Linked DNA regions of Diceros bicornis minor. The protein of the gene in region 2 purifies or fractionates together with the protein of the main gene of each other region. This does not show direct contact. Links are inferred from orthologs where the notes say so. Each region holds a gene or a part of one and is shown on either strand. Other genes may lie near its edges.

Evidence for each region.
Region 1: the proteins of RBM8A (region 2) and UPF3A purify together in Homo sapiens (co-immunoprecipitation; 4 studies listed by BioGRID and IntAct, with this or other methods). This does not show direct contact. The link is inferred for Diceros bicornis minor from reciprocal best matches to the Homo sapiens genes RBM8A and UPF3A.
Region 3: the proteins of RBM8A (region 2) and NCBP3 purify together in Homo sapiens (co-immunoprecipitation; 3 studies listed by BioGRID and IntAct, with this or other methods). This does not show direct contact. The link is inferred for Diceros bicornis minor from reciprocal best matches to the Homo sapiens genes RBM8A and NCBP3.

Annotation. Positions count from the first base shown.
Region 1 is NC_080748.1:87,795,114-87,798,861, reverse strand, and holds the start of UPF3A (regulator of nonsense transcripts 3A), read right to left. Parts: upstream 2,254-3,748; 5' UTR 2,237-2,253; coding exon 2,051-2,236; intron 1,816-2,050; exon of another isoform or gene 1,452-1,815; coding exon of another isoform or gene 1,278-1,451; intron 1,127-1,277; coding exon 1,020-1,126; intron 1-1,019. UniProt on the Homo sapiens protein: Involved in nonsense-mediated decay (NMD) of mRNAs containing premature stop codons by associating with the nuclear exon junction complex (EJC) and serving as link between the EJC core and NMD machinery.
Region 2 is NC_080743.1:53,440,039-53,443,516, forward strand, and holds RBM8A (RNA-binding protein 8A), read right to left. Parts: upstream 2,346-3,478; 5' UTR 2,304-2,345; coding exon 2,237-2,303; intron 1,950-2,236; coding exon 1,890-1,949; intron 1,763-1,889; coding exon 1,685-1,762; intron 1,495-1,684; coding exon 1,358-1,494; intron 1,032-1,357; coding exon 895-1,031; intron 787-894; coding exon 741-786; 3' UTR 579-740; downstream 1-578.
Region 3 is NC_080757.1:13,940,287-13,944,034, reverse strand, and holds the start of NCBP3 (nuclear cap-binding protein subunit 3), read right to left. Parts: upstream 2,494-3,748; 5' UTR 2,472-2,493; coding exon 2,289-2,471; intron 341-2,288; coding exon 275-340; intron 1-274. UniProt on the Homo sapiens protein: Associates with NCBP1/CBP80 to form an alternative cap-binding complex (CBC) which plays a key role in mRNA export. NCBP3 serves as adapter protein linking the capped RNAs (m7GpppG-capped RNA) to NCBP1/CBP80.

The DNA.
Region 1 (3,748 bases), on a different chromosome or scaffold from region 2:
AAGCCTTTCTCCCGTCTCACAGCTACCGATTTCCTTCATAGGCAGGAACTTTCAGCCCCACGTGACAGATGAGAACACTGAGAAATCAGGAACTTGAGAGGACGTGTTAGTTAAAAGGTGGGCCTGGGATCCCACCTGAGACCAGTGCCCGTCTTCCTGTAACGGCACCAGTTTTCCTAAACTTTAGTCATTTGAAAACCATCTTTCTGTTGGGTTTTTAAACTATATCTAAAGTTACCTCTTAGTGATATTTTTCTTTGAATGGACTGACGTTTTTTACTTAAATGCATTTATTCTAAAGGAAAGTTCCTATGGCTACCATAATTGAGAACTCACAATATTGAGAATAGAAACAATAACAATGATAATGAAGATCATGATAAAAACATAATGAAAATCACTAAATTCTAGGTGAACTGTCACCTGTTGAAGGTCTAACCTGGTCTGCTCCCTCTGTGTCATTAAAAGGGAAATTTGGAAGTGTTACAGTGTTGTCAGAGTCATCTTATTACCAAGCTGTAACAGGGAATTGAAAAAGACATGACCGGGCATGCGCAGGGTCGGGGTGTTAGTGATAGAAGGGAGTACAAGGGGGCTTCTGGGGTCGGGGATATTCTGTTTCTTTATCTGGTGTTAATTATATGGGTGTGTTCACTTGTGAAAATTCATCAGGTTATACATCTATTATTCATTCACTTTTCTTTGTTATATCTTAATAAAATCTACTTTAAAAAGCTCTATGAAATAGTTTATTGATATCCAAAATTGAGTAATATGTTGTTAGTTTGTCTGTTTTTCTTTTCAGACTACGGTAGTGACAGCAGAGGCATATTCCAAATCTGTTTTAGAGGAATTTAATGATCTGCCTACTTAGAAATAACTTAGAAACAAAGGTCTGCACTGATTTCTGGGTACGTGTGGGAAAGAAGATGGAAACGAAGATGGCTCCTATTATCTACAAAAATTTCCACCACTGACAATACCTCACAGCTGTTTAACGTCGGTAAACAGCTTCTCACCTGAGATCGGCAGTGAAGAACTCGAAGGAGTCGTGCGCAGGCAGCGGGCGAAGCTGCTGTTCCAGCTGCTCCTTGGTGAGGCTGGGAGGAAGCCGCCGGATGACCACCTGGGGAAAGGTCGCTGCCTGGGTTTTGTTTCACTATCACTGTATTAAGCTTCAATTATTTGAATGCTTGGTCACCTGTGTTTATGCTCAAAGGAAAATCTAAACCAGGCGTCCAGCAGAAACACACATTTTAGGAAAGGATAAGAAATACCTGGAGAACATAGCTGTCAAAAGGGTAATGAGGGCTGAATAATTTAAAAGGGATCCGTGGGGTCAGAAAAGCCTGCGCATAACCCCTCTTCCTCGGAATCATTTCATTACTACCACGACACGTACGGTCCGTGCCCGAGCTGCAAAATAAGACCCGCTCCTCTCTCTCCTGCATGTGGGCCACACTAGGAGGCAAGACACACGCAGAGAACACCAGCAGGAGCAAACCCACGGGCACCGTCCTCACTGCCCAGGGGAAGTCCGCCTCCTGTCCGCAGTGTCCACACCGCGGGTCCTCTCCAACACCTCACCAGCCGTCCGGGCTGCCTCTCCCGGCTGCCGCCGTCTTCCCTGGACCGGACCGGACCCTGACAGAGCCGCCGAGCCACCGACCCCGCTCGTGCCCCCTGCGGCCGCGCTCCTCGGCAGTGCGGACAGCTACTGCCAGGCGCCGGGGAGCCCAGCGTCTCAGCCCCAGCGGGAAACGTGCTCAGGCCCACAGGGCATTTCTTCCTCCCCAGGCCGGAAAAGCTCGCGTCGGAGGGCGCCGAAAACTCGGCCAGCGCTGCCCGACCGCTGTCCGCGGTGCTGAAGGGCGCCCCGCCCAACCCGCGGCCCCGCCTCACCTTGCTGAGGACCGTCCTCCTCTCGCGAGGTTGGCGCGCAGCACCCACCCTCGCCCCGCCTGACCGCGCTAAGAATTCCCCTTCCTCTCGCGAGGTTTGCTTGCACCGCCCCGTCCTCACCCCGCCCCTTCCTTCGCCCCGCCCCCACCTTGCTTAGGGCCGTTTTCTTCTCCTCGCGAGGTTTGCCTGCGCCACCCCCACAGCCGGAGGACGCGGCCGGTGGCGACTCCCGGCGGAACTGGACTTCCAGGACGGCTGCCTTCTCCCTCCCGGTTGAGCGCCGTGCAGCAACAGCCGCCCTGGGGCCTCCGGCCCCCTCCTTCTCCGAGCGCATCTCGTACCGGTCGCGGAGCCACTGCCGCCTCTCGCCCGGGCGGAACCTCGCGAGAACTGGGCCGCTGGGGCTTGGATGGCGCCCGCCCCTCTCCTCCGTTCCCCTCCGCCCCCTCCCCCTGGGCCACCCCCTGGCCCCGGGTATTCCACTTTCCGCGCGCCCTCTTGGCCCACGACCTCCGCCGCCGCCCTGGGGCCTCTGTATGGGGGCCCTGGAGCCGCACCTCCCACCAGCCCTGCCGCCACATTGCGCAGCTGTGCGGTCACTGGGAAGTGGGAGCTCGACCTCGGAGGGTCTGGAGTCTTGTTCGTTTGGTGTCAGCAGGACATTCTGGCCCAGGGGACGATTGGCTCAAGCAACAGCCTTTGCAGGTGTTGGGAGAGAGGGAGAATCTCCCTCTGCCCTTTGCCTTAGGTTCTTATGGCTGGCCAAATAATTAATAAGACAGGTTAGCAGGAGAAAATAATACCAAGTTTAATAACAATGTATACGTGGGAGAAAGCAGGGACGCTGCGTTTCTCAACACAATAGCAGAAATTCTAGTCTTAAATACCATGTTCAGCCAATGACAAAGGAGGATGTTGGGGGGGGGGAGTCAGTTACAGAAGATTATCACTAAAGCCCAGTAAACAAGAGTGAGGTTATTATGCAGATTTAAGGCCTCACCTTCCATAGTGATAAGTCTCTAGAAATGAGGCCATCCCCCCTCTTCCCAAAACAGAGAGGGAGATCCCTTTACAAATGGAGATTTCCCTTATAAATGTAAATGTTTGTCTGGCAACTCCTCGCAGGGCCATCCAGAGAATGTGGCCAGAGAGACATAATATGGGCTTGTTGATGCCTTTTCTATTGTAACATCTATTTTACATTATATTACAGCCATCAGATAGAAGATCTGTTCCAGTATCAAAGAGTTTGATACTATGTCAAATTCTTTAGGCAGTTAGTGGGGGAGGTCAAATGTCCTCAGAGAAAACAACCAAGGTAAAGAGAGAGATTTCAGGGTGGCCAAATCTTGATCTCCCACACAGGGCTGAACCTGCTTCCCACAGAGAGCTGGCTATTTGGCCGAATAGTCCTGCGAGTTACATACACGTGCTTAATAAAACAGTTACAGATATTTATTGTTCTCAAAGTGTGGATGCAAAATAACCAATAAGGATTATAACCCAGGAGGGCCTTTTCCAGAAAGTAAGAAAGCGTTCTGGAGAAGAGTGGTTTTCAGTACAGTCTTACACCTTTTTAGGACAAAAAACATACATTAAACATGCCCAGGATAAAATTTCAAAGAGGCATTCAGTTGCAAATTAGCAGGTCAACATGACCCTGATGTTGGGGAAAGGGACTAATCCGCATTACCAATAGGGCGTAGGAGGGGAGGTAAGCATTCTTAAGAGAGGATGTTCTTTAATGGTTAAAGTGTATGTACAATGTATGTTTCATAGGCCATAAATCAGGCTTGTTTAGTTCAAGCCTAGAATCAGGTTTAAACCCAAAGGGTTACCCTTTGTA
Region 2 (3,478 bases):
CCTTATTACCTGCTGGGTCTGTGGTACTGGTTCTCTCCCACCATGCTAACTGAAGTCCCTCCCAGCCTCAGCCATATCCTTTTCCTCTTGGGCATCCTCAAAGCTCCTCTGGATCCTCTCCTTTATGGGGCCTTCACCCTTGGATGCCAAAGAGGGCACCAAGAACTTAGTAAAGACTCTTCCAGGGAAAGAGGGTCTGGGAGAATGCCTCGACAGGAGACTCAAGCCCTTAGACAGCTGGAAATACAAACAAATGTGGCAGGAAGAAGAGCAGGAGAAACACAAGAGACATTCCTGTAATATCCATTTGCTCAGGACAGAGTATATAGGAAGGGAATAATTATTCTTTAATATCATGAGAACATCTCACTTCTAGCCCTGCTTTCTTAGCTTCCAAGAAAAAGAAATACTAAGCAGTCTCTTTCTTTTAACCCTAGCTGAGACTTGAAACTATGTCTAATGTAGAAACTCACACAGAATTCAGTTCCTGGGAGAAGTATCTTCACAGTAACCCACACTGCCTTACTCTAAATAGTGCTTCAGAGCTTCCAATGTTAGAATAGGAAAAAAACTTTAAATGTAGAAAACAAAAATGGGACATTTATTCATAACTCAAACACTAAGCAGGTAGGGTAAGAGATTAAATATAAACATAGTGAGTTCCACCCCGGCTCTCTTTCTCCAAGGTTGCGTGGTCAAATGGAATCTCTGGAGAAACCACCTCGACAACAGAGATCTTGTCAGCGACGCCTCCGGTCTGGACTCCTGCTGCGTCTTCGGCCACCTCTAGGGAAAAGGAAGGGGGAGGTCCATCAGAGGGACATAATACAAAGTCCTTAATCGGTTTCCTTCATATTCCCTTTAGCAAGATAGTGTTTGCCCGCTCCACTTTACCTCCTCTTGCCCTTGGGCGGACCCCGGACAAAACACCAGTCCACGCTGATTGGCTGTCCCATCAAATCCTGGCCATTGAGTCCCTCCATAGCAGCCTGGGCCTCCTTGTATGTTTCATACTCAACTAGAGTATATCCCTGGGGCAAGGGAAAAGACAGATATCAGAACCCTCCTATTCCACCAAACATCCCTGAGTATCTTCAAATACTAAATTTTTCTTCAAATCTAAATTCATACTCAAATAGAAAAATCTATAAACTTTAAACAATGAATGTACATCATATATCCCTACTGTATACACACCGTGTCTGTTTCTGTCTGTCTCTTTGCTGTGTCTAACAAAATCAATTTCCAATGTCATTTTATTTCAACTTTGCTTTTGGTCAACCACAGCAAACAAGAACTACCAATGATGTCTAAGGGTTATGGAGGAAGACAGGCAAAAGAGTGTTACTTAGGATACCTTCAGGTATCCTGTACGCCTGTCCAAGTTGAGGTGGATGTTTTTTATTTCGCCATACTCTGCAAATTTGTCATGGATGTCTTCTTCAGTGGCTTCCTCATGGACTCCAGTGACAAAGAGAATCCAGCCTTCAACAGCTGTTGGGGAAGGGACGGAGACTGTTTGAGAACATGAGAGAAAAACTTCAAACAAGATCACAGGAGTAGAGTGAGTGCACGGACTGCAGAGAATGGTTAAGCTATCTCTGACCCCATTTCTACTGGGTTTTATTTTATTGGTTCCTGATTCTCTACAAACACAGATCCCTACAGGCTCCATGTTACTTACAGCGTTGTGGGCCGGGTTCATCACCATCTTGCTCCACGCTGTCATAATCCTCACGCATCCGCGCTCGAGACCCCTCTTCTATAAGGAACATACACGAGATCACCGGAAATTCTCCTTCTCCCACTGCTTCCCATGAGTCTGAACGGGAACTCCAAAACTCGTAGCTCTCGCCATTCTAGACCCCATTTTTCCCACACACACTCACCGGAGCCAAAGCCGCGGCCCTTCCGTTTCTTCGCTTTTTCTTTTAGTTTGTGGATGCTCTCTGGAACCCCAGAAATGAAAGAATGAATAACAAAGACAACAGTTATTTATAACAATAGTCTCTTTGTCCCAAGACAGTATCTGAAAGCAGACCCCACCACCTCCAGTCCCAGTCCCTTCCCGGTCCCGCCCCCATTCCTCTCGAGGGGGGCGGAGTCTCTAATCCAACCGAAACCCAGTTCCCCGGCTCCCATCTTCCCTGCTGGGGAAGAGGGAGATTGTGTTTTCCTGTTAACGCCCTTCTCTCGCACCTTCCCCGCTTCCCGCAGCCGCCTCCACTGTCCTCACCGTCCCCATCCTCATCCATGGCGAAATCCTCGCCGCCAGCCTCATGAAGATCCAGCACATCCGCCATCTTGCCTTCGTTGTAACTCTCGTCCGTGCCGCTCAGGCACTAGGCACCTCGGGAAACTGTCGCGGAGACGAAAGGTCGCCAGTCAAGTTGACCAATGAAAAGCTAACTCTAAGTCCGGCCCCCGGCGCGTTGAAAATACGCAAATAGAGGCGGGCCTAGTTCGGGAAGCTGCCGGAAGTGTATCTGTAGCCATCTTGAGCAGGTCGTGAGCTGAAAGCAGCAGCCCTGTGAGGGACAAGCTCGGGGGTGGGCAAGTCTGCGGATTTCTCGACTAGGACAGCCAACGAGAAATAGTACTGACAATGAAGCCCAGCCTAATTTCCTTATTAGAGGGTTGCTTTCCGTCTCTTTTCACCACACCATTCTAGGAAATTGAAGTTTAAGAAAGTTTTTCTGTCAAAACTTCCAGGCCTTTACGTGTTCCGAGGAGCAGCCGCATCTGTGATGGAAGCATTTTAAAAAAATAGTTCAGTCAGCAATGCTGGCTCAAAAAGCTGCCTCTGGAACCTACGGCAGTACCGAATTTCTCTCTTAAGGAAACTAACAGACCTAGTTGTGCGTGAAACCATTGGTGAACAGATAACTTTCTTTTTTTTGTTGTTAAATTCCGAAACTCTTCCCACTGTCTCTGGGAATTAAAAAATAGTCATGGCTTTAAACAGAATAGGGGCTTTAAAGTTTCTCTGGTGGTGGTACAGGTATTTCACGTTTAAAAACCTAGGCATTGAGGCTGTGGGAGATCAAGATTTGGCCACCCTGAAATATATCTCTTTACCTTGATTGTTTTCTCTGGGGGACATTTGACCTCCCCCAGTAACTGCCTAAAGAATTTGACATGGTGGCTCCTTCCTGGAACAGATCTTATATCATGATGGCTATAAAGATGATGTAGGATAGAGGTTACAATAGCAAAGGCACCAAGTCTCTTTTATCAAAAAACTCTGTCTCTCCCTGACCACGTTATCTATAGATGACCATGTTATCTATAAATGACCCAGAAAAGAATTGTCCTCCTGCCCTCTGAAGTCCTAGGCCACTACCCACCCCCAACATGCTCCTCGCCTTTAGCTGCAATACTTAAGCAAGCAGCTTAGACAGAGGGACGAGTTGCTCATTTCTGAGTTTCTCCCATGTATACATGTTATTAAACTTGGTATTATTTTCTCCTGCTAACT
Region 3 (3,748 bases), on a different chromosome or scaffold from region 2:
AACTTTCTCTTGGATGTGGTTAAGCACAGGCATCTAGGTAGGGTTATTTTATCTTTTCATGGATGTGAGAACATACAAATGCTGCCCGGATATTTTCAGGATGCATGAGAGCATCATTGTGTAAAAAGAAATTTAAATTAAATAAAAATTTTTTAATCCAGCAACAAAAGAAAAAAGGAGGTAAAGAATAATTGCTGTTCTACAAGTCTTAGGACCAAGTTCATTAAGTTCACCTGCTTATCAAAACGAATAAATAAATCATGGTCTGTCTTACCTTGGAGGTGACATCGATTCCAGTGATGAAGCTGCCAGCCTTGTTTTCATATCTTCTGCTTGTGTCCTAACACGAGGGGGAAGGGTAAGAAATGCTGATGGCAACTGAGGAAAAACTTGATAAAAGACAGCCCGACAACTGATTCCTTTTGGATAGTCATTCTTTTCAGCAATCCTTCCCCCACCCTGACAACCTCTTATTACGAGGAAGCCTGTCTCAGTGACTCCATGGTAGCAATCCACCTCTCTAACGAGAAGTCTTTCCTAGATCAGAGCCTGTCCAAAACCTTAAGTAATTCCATCTACTAAAGGTGTCCATGTAAATGAAAATCTAAAGGCTTCCACGAAAAATGTCTGGGATGAGGCACGGTCATTTGTCTCCCCAGCCCAGACTGAACAAACTCATCATGCTGGGCCACCAGGTGGAGCACAAGTCTTCACCAAAATGCAGCAAGTCCAGACTCACCTAGACCTCCTGGGGAAAACACAGTACAGGGCTGTGAAAAGAGGATGGGACTGGGAAGCCGAGGACTCGAGTGGCAGCTCTGAGGTTCACTGATTACACGACACTGTACAATTCCTTTGGCCTCTCTGGGCCTACGTTTCCTCTGTGGTGTCTGCCTACCTTCCTGACCTCTTTTACTGCTCTCCCATTTGCACTCCAGAACTTTCCGTTTCTCCAACAAAACAATCTTGTTCCCATCTCAGAGCCTTTGGGCTTACTGTTGCCCCTGCCGGGACCACTCTCTTCCAAACCTGCACACGGTTGGCTCCTGTTTGTCCTTTAGGGTTCAGCTTAAATGTCACTATTTCAGAGGACTTCCCTGACCATCCTATCCCATTCGGCTTCCTGCTCTGCACACCCTCCCTGACTTCTACATTCTCAATCTCATTAACATGTTTCGTTTTCTTCATAGCACTTATCACTATGGGAAATTATTTTTTTCCTTGTGTCCCCCAGCTGAAACATAAACTCCAGGAGGGAGTCTGATCTTGACCAAGCGCTTGGGGCTGTGCCTGGCACACAGTGGGGGATGCAACAAATGCATACTGAACTGAATGAATAAAGAGATGATAATGTCTACTTCACAAGTGCAGTGACATTTAAATGATCTAATGTGGTAAATGGTAAAACGCCACTACGTTAATTGTTGTCACCAGAGTCATTATCCTTTGCTATCTCTGTATATCATTTGTGATCCTACCTTCACCTTTTTTCATAATTTCAGTCTAAAAGCAAGACTTGCTGACATGCAGTAAAAAGTCGTTCGTGTTGGGCGAGAAATTAAGTAAATGAGAGGAGCCATGGAGGCCTGAGACCAGCCCTAAGAACCGGACAGAGGACCACCAAACCACAAGCAAAACACCTCTCACCATCCCATTGTGATAAGAGACGGACCAAGCACCACTGCTGGTTCGCTGCTGTTTTGGTTTCATTAAGGGTCAGATGCTGGGGCCCCCGGCGTAGGTGCCACACAGCAGTGGAGCTGTGCGGGGACAAGACGACCCTCGAGTCACCACAGAAACACCGAGTTTCTGCTGCTGACAAGTCCAGCCCTCCCAAGAGAAACCGCCAGTGCAATGTTTAACAGACACAGCCCCACCAGCGCTGGACCCGCAGGGAGACCTGGATGCCGGCGCCTGCCCACAGCTCCTTCTGGGCCGCTCCTGGTTCTGTTCCCGCCCGGGCTCCCCCTTTATCTCAAGCCCCAGACAATCCCCGCCCCTCCTCACCCACCCCTCGCACAGACTGGCTCCAAGGGACAGCGGAGGGGGTGTCCTCAACTGCCCCCCCAGCTCTCCCTCACCTCCTCAGCCCCTCGACACCATTTCCGGACGCCCCGGCGTCCTCTCCCCCGCTCCCCGTCTCTCCTCAAGCCCGGCGCCCCCGCCCCCGGGCGCTCGCTCGCCTCTCCCGTCTCCTGACTTCCCCCGGCCCGGGCGCCCGCCGCCTCCCCTTCCGGCCGCTCCGGCGCGGGGCAGTCTCTCGGCGACCTCCCCCTCGCCCCCCGTACCGGGATCAGTTCCTTCAGCGAGCGCCGCACCGGCACGAGCTCCAGCTCGCCCTCCTCCACCTCCATGGGCTCCGGCTCGCCACGCTCCAGACTGGACTCCGCCTCAGGCGACGGGAGCCCCAGGGCCGGCCCCGCCGGGGCCTCCGCCTTCACCGACACTCGCAGGCCCCGTACGGCCGCCATCGCCGCCCGCCGGCCGCACCACTGAGTACCCCGCCCCGCACACCAGCTGGCTAGAGCGCCGCCGCCACTGGCCACAGTGCTGCCGCCGCCGCTATCTAGAGCGTCGCCTGCTTCGGCTAGAAGGCCCCCTTCAGCGCCGCCGCCCCCTGGTGGCGGAAGGAACCCCGGACGCCTGGAGCGGGGCCTAGTGAGGAGGAGGCGGGACCGAGTGAGGACGGGGGCGGAGCCTGATGGAGGGGGCGGGGCCTGAATGAGATCGGTTTGGTCCTACGCCTCGAGCAACAGACCTGTAATAAAAGCTAACTTTAGTGAATGATCCTCACGTGCCAGTGACTGTTCCAAGCGCTTGAATCTTTACAGCAACCCTGTGAAGTAGGTCCTATTATTACAAGGAAACTGAGGCATAGAAATTTACCAAGGTGATAGGCAATTTAAGGGATAAGACCTGGATCTGAGCCTAGGCAGTCTGACTCTAAGCCCAGAACGAGCCTTGGTCTATCACCTCTGGGCAGTCTGTAGGTTTACAACGTACTTGCCTTGCCAACCTTTGACTCTTTTGAGACTCCCAATAATTGGCGCATTTTACATGGACAAAAATTGAGACTCCAAGAGGGTAGTGAGCTGCCTAAAGGCCAGAACTTGAACCCCAATTTCCTGATTCTGGAGGGCTTGTTCCACGGTAGACTCCTGAGCATGGTTTCTTGCAGACATTCCTAACAGGAGCCTGGCTGGGAGAAGGGTAGTGTCCTCTAGGCTTCCAGTGGGCACTGCTGGTCAGTTTTTGTTTTGAGTCTTGATTTTGCACCTTCCTCCTTGTGTTGCCTTGGGCTGGTTCTGAGCGTTTCTTCCCATCTGAGGAGAGCATAGGTGGAACACTAGAGTCTCTGAGGCCCTATGAGCTCTGACCATGAAAGAAGAAATAATTACAAACCAAGGAAGAGCATGATTAGCATCAGACACACCTGGGTTTTCCAGCTGCCTCTGCCTCTTACACCATGTGTGACCTTGGGCAAGCCACTTAACCCTTCAGAATCTCAGTTCCTTCATCAGTAAAATGGGACAATTATACCCACCCACAAAGGAGGTTATAAGGGTAAAATGAGATAATTACGTGTAGATACAGGATCCAACAGAAGGGGTACAGAATATCATAGTTTTTCTTAAATTTGGGCTAAATCACAGGACACACACAAGACAGACCTCTTTAGAGGGCTGGTTTTCCTTGATGAAAGGGACATAGCGTAGTTACAAAACTGGATTGAATGCATGGAATGCAC